3 linked regions of the Callithrix jacchus genome follow. The protein of the gene in region 1 interacts with the protein of each later gene in a pairwise test. Links are inferred from orthologs where the notes say so. Each region holds a gene or a part of one and is shown on either strand. Other genes may lie near its edges.

Region 1 (4,213 bases):
TCAAAACAAACAAATAAAAACAAACAAAAAACAACAAAAAACCCTGTGAGGCAGGCATGTCAGGGATTATGATCCTATTGACCAGATGAGGAAAGCATGGCCCAAAGATGAGCAAAGGACTCAATATTCTGATTGCGCTCCCACTTCCAGCTGCACTTGGGTCCGAGCTGAAGTGCTGACCCTGACCTTTCTCATCCTCTCTGGGTTACGAGCACTGCCCAGGATCCCTCGACAGGATGGCACAGAACTCAAGCTCTCAGACCAGAGCCCTCATCCTGGACTGGTCCTACTGCCACTCTTGAACCCAGGTACCTCCTCTGAAGGTGGAGACTCGCCTCACCTGCCTTGCAACCAGCTGGATGCTCAGAGAGGGAAATGGAAAGTACCTGAACACACCCTAGTCACTGTCATTCTGGACCTTGTCCCTCTTGTTAATGCCCAGCTGGGAAAGGAATAACCTCAATGGCCCTTTCCTCAAGACTGGAGGAGAGTACCTGTGAGCCAGACACAGGCCCAGCCCAACCCAGCCTAAGCCAAGTTGGGAAGGGTGTGGAGCAAGGAAGGCAGACTGGCATTCCTGAGAGGAGTTTGTCAAGCCCTACAATTCATGTGTTGTGCCAGGGAAACTCAAGGGAGGTATGGGCCCAATCATGACCTCTGGAATGGAGGCCTAAGCCACCCTGCTTGCCCAGCGTGGCCAGCAAGGGGCTTCGGACAACCCTGGATGGAAAAATAAAAATAGTGGCTAAATATTTGTTACAAGCTAACTATTGTCAGACCCTGTGCCTCTCCCTCCTCCCCAAGTGCTCAGAGCTGTGGAATAGATGGGTTCCAACCAGCCCTATTCTTCTGCCCCTCTCTGGATCATCTTAGACCAGAAAGTGACACAGTTGAGTGTCCCGCTTCTTCCGCATCCCTCCAGGACCACTTCATCTGTGGGCGATCTTCTCCACCTCCTCCGGGAAGCCCTCGTTCCCAGCTTCCAAAGCAAGTCGCAGGTGGAGTGGATCCTGCTTAATACCCCGGCCCAGAATCCCTTGGATCTCCTTCTTCCTCCATGTCCAAGACACCCATTCTTGACAACCCTGTAGTCCCCCACTTGGTCCTAGCGGCACTTCGCCTCGATCTTGCCATTTTATACCCCACGATCCGGATGTAGGGTTTTGAGCTCCAGGGTAGTTGGTGGGGAGGCAGCACGCGTGTGCAGGACGAGGTTGGGAAAAGAGACCTCGTCCGCCCACCTCCTGGTTGCTCCTCCTTCAGACAAGCGAGCCGGGGAATGCCCGGCGCAAGGATACCCGCAGAGCCCAAGAAGTGGGTCTCTCAGCCGGGTCCCCGCCACCCACACCGCCGAGAGCGACGCGGCGCGCCTGCGCGGAAGAAGGCCGCGGCTACCGCACATGCGCAGCGGTCACACCCGCTGTATATTAAGGCGCCGGCGGTCGCGGCCTGGGGCTGCTCTTGGACAAGGGCAACGAACGGTTCGTTTGGACTTCTCGGCTTGAGTGCCCTCCGCCGCCTCCGCAGAGTCCCCCGCGCAGGTGAGGGCCAGCGTTGTGGGTGCGGCGCCGGCCGGGGAAGCCCTCGCGTGTCTTGCTAGTTGGAGCACCTCTCGCCGGGCACTGGAACCCCATCCCCCACTGTCCCAGTCACCGCCGCCTGTGGCGGGGGCGGGGGTCAGCGTTTATCCTCCAGATCTTTTGCCTAGACCGCCGTTTCAGTTTCCCCCTTTCGGCCCCCTCGGGCTATTCCCGGTTAAACCTGCCGCTTTAGAATTCCCTTCTCTTATCCCTCTCCTCATTGTCGAGACCTCGACCTCGGGTCACCTTTGACCCCCACTGTCCGAGGACTGCCCTCTTTCTCCAAACTCAACTCCCTCGACTTTCTAGCCCCTGCATGTTCCCAGTGAATCCCAAGGCGCTGGCCCTCATACCCCTACCCTCGTTTGTGCCCCTCCTTTCTAAGTTATGTCCAGTTCTTCCCGCTGTGGGGACACGACCGCGGAGGAATCCTTGCCTCAGGGATCCAGAGCCCTGCTGGACTCCTTCCTCGGGTTTAGGGGTGGTTTCGGGGATGTGGGAACAAGGAGAAAGTCAGGATTCTTAAGAGTCTTCCCTGCCTGGATGAATGAGTGGCTTCTTCCCTAGCATCCCTTCTCCACCTGGGTGTAAGCCAAGATGTCTTATCTGCACTATGCATCTCCCTAAGAAACCTCTGGGCTCCCAAACCTGTTCTTGACTTGTCCCTCATCCTTCCACGCTCTTGGTTATTTACTGTCAGTACTTACTTCATTTGGTGAAGTTGCTTTGCAGGTGCCTTTGTGTAGAGCTGGGGAATGAAGAAGTTGATGATCTGGGTAGAGTGTGGTCACCATTCCTTAGCTGACAGCACATCCGTGCTGTCCTTAGGCATTTTTGAGTGAGAAATGTTAGTATTCCAGGGTACCCTTTATATAAACTGCAGGTGACACCTGAATCCAGTGAGTTTGCAGTGATATTTGCCTGATTATTAACAAGTGTTGATGTCACTCATCATCAGTCTTTCCACAGGAGCCAGCATACTTCTTGAACATGGAGACTGTTGTTCGACGCTGCCCATTCTTATCCCGAGTCCCCCAGGCCTTTCTGCAGAAAGCAGGCAAATCTCTGTTGTTCTATGCCCAAAATTGCCCCAAGATGATGGAAGCTGGGGCCAAGCCAGCCCCTCGGGCACTGTCCACCGCAGCAGTACACTACCAACAGATCAAAGAAACCCCTCCGGCCAGTGAGAGTAAGTGTCGTTGGCAATGAAGGAGCAGACAGGGGTGTTTGTGCTCATTGGTAGACTAGACGCAATCCACAGTGGTGGTAAGGGCCACACTCACTCACAGAGGGCTGCTCTGTGCACGGATTATTTCATATGATTGTCGCCCAAGAGTAGGCACTTTTAGTTTCTCCATCTTTAAAAGTGAAACAGTGGCCAGTGTTACACATACAGGTTTTTGGATTGCATGTTAGTTTCAGTTGGGGTTTTAGTATTTCCTCTGTGCCTTGTTCACATAACTATTAAATTGGAATGTTCTATTCTGACCTTTCTTTCATTAAACATTTGGCCTTCGGCTTTTTATTTAGTTAGTTTTTCTTTTTTTGAGACAGAGTCTTACTCTGTTGCCCAGGTTGGAGTGCAGTGATGCAATCTTGGCTTATTGCAACCTCCACCTCCCCTGGGTTCAAGTGATTCTACTGCCTCAGCCTCCCAAGTACCTGGGACTACAGGCATGTACCACCACACCTGGATAATTTTTGTACTTTTGGTAGGGTTTCATTATGTTGGCCAGACTGGTCTTGAACTCCTGATCTCAAATGATCCACCTGCCTTGGCTTCCCAAGGTGCTGGGGTTACAGATGTGAGCCACTGTGCCTGGCCCCTTTGGCTTTTTTAAATAGTGATTTTTTTTTCCTTAAAAGTTTCGTTTTATTGTGGTAAAATACACAAGAAAAAAATGCCATTTTAAGCATTTTAAAATGTACGGTTCAGTGGTATTCACATTGTTGTGCAGTCATCACTGCCATCCATTTCCAGAACTTTTTTCATCTTCCCAAACTAAAAGTATACCCACCAAACAGTAACTTTCCATTCCTCTCTCCCCAGCCTCTGGCAACCACCATTCTGCTTTCTGTCTCTATGAATTTGACTACTCTAGGTACCTTATATAAGTGAAATTGTACAGTATTTATTAGTGGAGTGACTCACTCCTGTAATCCCAGCACTTTGGCAGGCAGAGGCATTTGGATCACTGAGGCCAGGAGTTCAAGACCAGCCTGGCCACATGGCAAAACCCCATCTCTACAAAAAATTAAAAAATTAGCTGGGCATGGTTGTGTACGCCTGTAATCCCATCTACTTGGAGAGATTGAGGCTTGCTTGAACCCAGGAAGCGGTGGTTGGAGTGAGCTGAGATCGTGCCCTATATCTTTATTTGTATATACATTTGTTGTTGTTTTTATAAAGAGACTGGAGTTAAACTTAGTTTGCTCTGGTTCTGCTAGGAGAGAACAAGGCTTTTGAGGTTCCACTTAATCCTAGAGAATATTTTACAGGCTTTTCTTATGTGTATTCTCTGGGTGTGGGAGGATTGTAAGAAGAATTTTTTTTCTTTAAGTAGAAAGGATTTAATCCTTTGTAGGGTTTATTTTCAAGAGTTAGTTGTGTATTTTTTACCAAAATGTTTGCA
Region 2 (3,500 bases), on another chromosome or scaffold:
CAAGTATAGTAAGATATTTTACCACTCTCATTTTATAGGTCCAAGAAATATGTTCAGAAAGGTAAAGTGACTTGCGAAAGCTTCTATAACTAGTCAGCGGTGGAGTTAAGACTTAAACCTAGCTCCTCTCAATCCAGTCAACACAATTTCCCTATCTGTAATTATAGTAATTTAATTTCAGCCAACATTAGGACTAAAATATAATTACCCATAAGAATAGCAATGGGAAGAACAAGATGAGGTGTTTAAAAAAGGAGAACTGGCATTACATTAGTTTTAATTGAATGTATCTTGTATTTTTGGTAACCTAGATACCAGATATGAAAGAAATCCAACAGCTCATCAGATGATGTAGAAATATGAAGCAACACCAAATGAAGGGAAAGAACACTGGATATGAAATCAGAATAAACCATTTTTAGGCTTAGTCATACCAGTGACTAGCCATGGAGAATTATTAACCCTCTGGGTCTCAGTTTTCTAATCTATAAACTAAGAGAATAAGGACATTAAACATTCTCTGTTTTAGCTCTAGGAGTCTACGGTCCTGTGTCTAAAAACATGTGGCTCAATCAACTAGTTAGTTTTGTTTTTATGGTCTTCATTTGCTGTAAACAAAGACTCTGGGAGTTCTAGATAATATCCCTTGATTCACATTTAGTCTCCTATGCAAGCTTCATAATGCCTCTCTTATATTTAATATAAGGATGGATGACTTGATGGATACAAAGGGAGGCAGAGCGGTGTGAAAAAAAAAGAAAAAATCTTTGGAGTAAAAAGACTGAGTTTAATCTTAATTCCCCAAACTTCAAGTAGTATATTACCAACTCTTTCTGAGCCAGTCTCCTCATCCATCAAAGGAAAATAATACTACCTTTTTCACAGGATTCTTGTAAGAATCAAGTAAAATGACTTATAGGAAGTTTACTTGCTACATTTAAAAATCTGCTTTAGACCCTATTACCATTATTTTTAACCTACCTCATAATGTGAAATTCTTTGTGATTCAAACTGTAGCATCACTCCACATACTTGACAAAACTTATCTGTAAAAAGTTCAGCCTTTTTCTGTTTATTCCAAATGGGATCTGTGAATAAAAAAGGGAAGACAAATATATCACGTTAATAAATACTTAGAGATATCATTTTCATTCCTCAACTATATATGATTTTATATGCCACTTCAAATTTGAGTGCTTGTGAGACTAGAGTAACAGCTTTTTGTTCAAGTATGCAATTTAAATTTAATATACACATACTAAGCATCCCTCTAATGTCAGATATAGCAAGAGTTTATTTAGTATGATAAGTCTAGGCAATGGCATTCTAAGGAATCATTATGGGGGCATCAGTAATTTCATGAGCTTCATGGAATGATTTTGGACACTGGTAATTAAAGGCTGGATTTCTAAATCCAGCCTTGGCCAGGTGCAGTGGCTGATTCCTGTAATACCAGCACTTTGGGAGGCTAAGATAAGAGGATCGCTCAAGGCCAGGAGTTTGAGACCAGCCTGGGCAACAGAGCAAGACACCATCTCTACGAAAAATAGAAATAAAAATTAGCAGGGCATCATGGCACATGCCTGTGGTCCTAGCTACTCCAGAGGCTAGGATGATCACTTGAGCCCAGGAGGTTGAGGCAGTTGAGGCTGCAGTGAGGTATGATTGTGCCTTTCAGCCTGGGTGACAGCAAGACACTGCTTGAAACAAATGAACAAAGAACCAACCAAAAAACAAACCAGAAAACCAACCAAACAAACAAAAAACAGCCTTGATATTTTGTGTTTTATAGCAGACAACCCTAAGAAATGCTTTGCTTTAGGGCCGTCACTTGTCACACAATTCTCGTAAGAATCAAGTAAGAGATTTTTACCACTCTCATTTTACAGGTCCAAGAAACATGAAGCAATGCCTTCAATGTTGTCTAGAAATTACAAGGAACCACAAACTATCTTTGTCCATAGTAGGCAAATATCCTTCATAACTGTACAAACACTAGCACACTCATGTGGCCAAACAAGTCTCATACAGGTCTCTCAAAACTATAATGTAATGTTCGTATACTAAGATCTAGAAATGTATGCTAAAGTGTTTATCACTTTAATAAATAATACCTGCCAACACTTTCTGCATTTACACTTGAGGTCGATACTGTCATCTAAAATTCTTAAGAGCGAGTGTATTCTGCCAAAGTTTATCCATTTTTCTATACAGTGTGAGTCACAAACATCAAAATTCTCATTGTTACTTGGCTATCAAAGTGAATAAGTTGGTACCAAATGCTTTCACAAAGGGATGCCAATTAATATATTAAATGAATGTTTAATTAGCATATTAAATGAATAAAAATTTGTAGAACAAATACAATATATCCAACTCCCAATAATAACAAAAATTAAATATATGCACAGAAAAATCTGGAATAAAATAAACCATATTTACAAATGGTTAGCTCTGATAAGTGGGGCTAGAAAAGAAGCAAGGAGAGACAACTTAATGTTTAACTCTATGTACAACTGTCTTAATTAAAAAACCATTAGGAAGAACATCATCAAGATGGTGGAATAGGACTTTTCAGCACTCATTTCTCTACAGAAACATCAATTAAAACAACTATCCACACATGAAAATAACTTCACAAGAGCAAAAAAAAACTAAAAAACAAAACAAATAGGCAGGAGATTATAGCAGCATCTGGGTGTAGCACAGACATAAGGTACATTCAAGAAGGTAGGAAAGATAGTTTCACACTATTAGCATCAGCCCTCTACCAACCCCGGCATAGAGTGGAGAGAGATACCCTCTGTGTGAGAGAAATAGAGGGAAGTGAGCACTGAACATTCATTCAACTCTAAAACTGGACCCACGCCAATAATAACCAGTGCTAAGAAGGCCCCCACAGCCTCCAGGTCAGTGGACTCAGCCTCCAGGCCTGCCCCAGTCACAAGCTGAATCATTCAACCCCAACCTCCAGGCCTGCACAGTGAAGTTGGTCTTCAGGTTACCTCAACATCAAGCTAACCTCAGCAGTACCAAGGCCTCAACCACCCTCAGCATTGGACTAGCTCCCAAGGCTCCTGGCTTCAGGCCAGACCCCTACAGCCCTAGTCATAAGGCAGGCACCTGCAGACTCAGCCCCTCAAGGAGGCTGATATAGGCCCCAAGAGGCTGGTACCCACAGACTGAGCCTCCAAGCCCACGCCAGCACCAGGCAGGATTCCATAGCCCCACCCTCTAGGCTGGCTCCTGTAGTCCTCGCTGGATCTCCTCCAACTCAGTGTTCTAGCAGACCCAGGGCCCAGGCCAGTTCCAGTAGACCACAGTGCTGGATTGGCTGCTATGGACCTAGGTGCCAGGACCATCCCTGTGTTACCAAGTTCCAGGCTGGGCCCTGCAGCTCCAGGACCCATGTTAGCCCCAAGGAACCTAACCTCTAAGCTAGCCCTTGCACATCACATCTCTGGGCTTGCATCTACAGACTCAGGCTCCAGGCCACCCTC
Region 3 (3,500 bases), on another chromosome or scaffold:
GATGATAGTGGCTGAGATTAAGATGTAGTGGAGATAGAATTAGATAAATGTGAGGGGCTTTTTAGAGGGCAGAATTCTTACAATTTTGTGATTGATTACTTATTTGGCAGGATAGGGAGTGGGGCTAAGGGAGAAGGAGGAGTCAAGGCTGATGTCTAGCTTTCTTTGATAAGTAAGTAAGGTTATTATTCCACGAGCTTGAGAACAACATAGAAGGAACAGGCTTTGGAGGAAAAACAATGTGCTCAGATTTGAATATTTTAGATTTTGGGTGATGTAGATCATCTAGGTGGGTGGATATGTGGATGTGAAGGTCAATATATAGATTTAGGAATCTTCCACTTTTAAGTAGTTACTGAGATCGTTGGAATAGATGAAGTTGCCTGGGGAAAAGTGTAAAGTAAGAGAGAAAAGGGTCTTTGACAGAATCTTATCACAGAACTGATAAATTGAGGAATATCACCCTATATGAAATGATGAAAGGAAGAAGAGTCTGCAGTGGAAAAGGAAGATCTAAAAGAGGCCAAAAGAAGATAAAACAAAAAGATGGTGTCATGGAAGCCAATGTCAGATGCTGCAAAAGTTTATGTACAATTAGGACTAAATTATGTCCATGGGACTTGCTGACAGAGAGGTGGTTAAAAAGTGCGTTTGTGGCAAGTTTCATTTAAATTGGAGGTCAAAGCCATATTGCAAAAGATTGAGAAGTGAAGAAGTGATATCATGGGGCGTAGGGAGGGAAGAGAGAGGAGCCATAGGTGAGGAGGGGGATGGGAGAACTTTGAGCATGTTTGCTGATGGTAGAGGAAGGAATTGAAGATACAGAAAAGCAAGAATTATGGCTATAGGGAGATGGCAAGAAAGTAGGAAGCACTGTGACTCCAAGCAAAGATTCTGAAATAAGCTATATCGAAGATGCATGAGCACATCCTTCCATGTAATCAGAAGGCAGAGGGAAGGTACAGATGTAGACAGAGTTGTTAGTTTTTTTTGTTTGTTTGTTTGTTTTGAGACAGAGTCTTGCTCTCTTGTTTAGGCTGGAGTGCAATGGCTTGATCTCAGCTCACTGCAACCTTTACCTCCCAAGTTCAAGTGATTCTCAACCTTTGGATTCTCTTAATGGACTTTCTATGTGGCTTCCACATGCTTGGTGGACTTTAGGAAAAGGGGCTCAAATACATAGATGGAAGAGGAGGAGGTTCCTCAACTGTACCACCTGAAAGAAAATATTTTATAACCATCCCTCCCCTTACTTTTCAGCCAGATTAGTTCATCAGAATCTCTGGGTATGAGACCCTGTAGTATTGATAGTTTTTAAAAGTTCATCAGGTCTCTCTACTAAAAATAAAATAATTCGCTGGGCGTGGTGGCTCGTGCCTGTAATCCCAGCTACTCTGGAGGTTGAGGCAGGAGAATCACTTGAACCAGGGAGTTGGAGGCTGCAGTGAGCTGAGATTGCGCCACTGCACCCCAGCCTGGCGACAGAGCAAGACTCATCTCAAAAAAAAAAAAAAAAAGTTCATCAGGTGACTCTAATGTGCAGTCCTCCTGGAGAACCATTTTATTAAGTGTAGAATATGAAGGAAAATAGGAAAATGACTCTTGAAAGGAAAGTTGTGTACCACTGATCTATTTCTCCTATTGAAGTTTTTATATGGATATTCACAGACTAATTCAACAAGATTTTAAGCATTTTCTGCTAAACTCACTGCTCATTTGCTTGTAACACTAAGTTAAACATGTTCCCTACCCCCTTGGAGTTTCTAGTTCAATGAAAGAGACAGTCTCTAAGTGGTATGAGCTATAATAGGGCAAGTCCAGGGCTATGAGAATATATAGGCCAGGTGTGGTTGCCCACACCTATAATCCTAGCACTGTGGGAGCATTATTTGAGGCCAGGAGTTCAATACCAGCCTGGGCCAAAAAAGTGAAACCCCTCCCCTGAAAAAAAAAGTTAGCTGTGTGTGGTGGTACCTGCCTGTAATCCCAGCTACTTGGGAGGCTGAGGCGGGAGGATCACCTGAGCATAGGAGTTCAAGATTGCAGTGACCTATGATTGCATCATTGTACTCCAGCCTGGGTGACAGAAAGAGACCCTGTCTCTACATGATGATAATAATAATAGTTAAGAGAGAGAGAGAGAGAGAGAGAGAGAGAGTGAGAGAGAGAGAGAGAGAGAGAGAGAGAGAGAGAGAGAGAAAACGAGAACATATAGTAGAAGGAGCACTTCTGGTGTGGGATGAAGCAGTATTATCATTTAAGTGAGTTGTATTTAAATTTTTTACCATTCTTGTTACAGATATCAACACCCTAGTCTCTTTTTAGATAACTTAATTCATGGGATTTAAAAAAATCATCTTTTTTCTTTCTCTTTAAGGTGACTCATATTCTTAATGTTGCATATGGAGTTGAAAATGCTTTCCTCAATGACTTTACATATAAGAGCATTTCTATACTGGATCTGCCTGAAACCAACATCCTGTCTTATTTTCCAGAATGTTTTGAATTTATTGAAGAAGCAAAAAGGAAGGTGAGTTTTGTTTTGATCCATAGTTCTTCAGAAGCAAAAATTTGAAAGTAGGGATTCATTACCCAATCTTTATTATTTTTGCAATGAATCTCCAAAAAATCCATTAAGAAATTTCCCTTCTAACAATATTTTATTATTTTCTACAGTTATTTGGTTAATTGCTCTTTTTTTAATGATATATTTACTTTAACGTTAATTCAGTTTCTCATTTTCCTGTGTGTTACTGAGAATTGTTAAGAGATAAAATCCTCTACTTACCGAGTTTTTCTCTGTAGACATGTAGTTAGATTTCCTTTGAGGGTTTATAGCCACCTGACCTCTCACCAATTTGCAGGATAATCAGAGGGACTATAAAACAGAGACTGCTCTAGACTTATGAGTGTTATTTATAATGATTGCTGTGCATTTCATTTTAATGAAATTATGAATGAGTTAGTTATTATGAAACTATGCATTTTTAGCAATAAAATTTTAAGACACTCTAAGGACTAAATGTGTATTGCTTTACTTGGATTGTATGACAATGCTGATCAGAAGCTGTCTGTTGGTTTTCTGAAGTTAGAAGACCAATAGCCAATGTCATATAGTACTTCAATTTTGTTATTGGATTCTAGTCAACATTCTGACAGGCAAGGTTTCTTTGTTGGCTGTTATTAATAATTATTACTTGAAATGGCATCAGTTTTAGTCAGCAAATAATTCTTACAGACTTTATGTAAGATACGTAGATGGGAAAGTAGGAGCATTTACGGAGAGAAATAACTCTTCTGGAACACCTAACAGTGACAGGATTAGAATTGGGTTTAATTGAACTCTGGCCTACCTTCTCTCCCTTCTACTTTCGCTCCTTCCCAGTTTCTCTCCCTTTAATTTACTAGTATTTATTGAATGCCTTATGTACCCAGCACTATTCTATGTGCTTCCTAGTAGACTACCTGGAAAATATATAACTATTCAATTCTAGTGTCCA

Evidence for each region. The genes of interacting proteins can lie anywhere in the genome.
Region 2: the proteins of ALAS1 (region 1) and ZMAT1 interact in a two-hybrid assay, tested with the Homo sapiens proteins (2 studies listed by BioGRID). The two-hybrid records come from large-scale screens. The link is inferred for Callithrix jacchus from reciprocal best matches to the Homo sapiens genes ALAS1 and ZMAT1.
Region 3: the proteins of ALAS1 (region 1) and DUSP19 interact in a two-hybrid assay, tested with the Homo sapiens proteins (3 studies listed by BioGRID and IntAct). The two-hybrid records come from large-scale screens. The link is inferred for Callithrix jacchus from reciprocal best matches to the Homo sapiens genes ALAS1 and DUSP19.

Annotation. Positions count from the first base shown.
Region 1 is NC_133516.1:34,723,327-34,727,539, forward strand, and holds the start of ALAS1 (5-aminolevulinate synthase, non-specific, mitochondrial), read left to right. Parts: upstream 1-1,413; 5' UTR 1,414-1,541; intron 1,542-2,538; exon of another isoform or gene 2,539-2,549; 5' UTR 2,550-2,570; coding exon 2,571-2,769; intron 2,770-4,213.
Region 2 is NC_133524.1:98,363,220-98,366,719, reverse strand, and holds part of ZMAT1 (zinc finger matrin-type protein 1), read right to left. Parts: intron 1,089-3,500; coding exon 982-1,088; intron 1-981.
Region 3 is NC_133507.1:45,954,187-45,957,686, reverse strand, and holds part of DUSP19 (dual specificity protein phosphatase 19), read left to right. Parts: intron 1-2,377; coding exon 2,378-2,530; intron 2,531-3,500.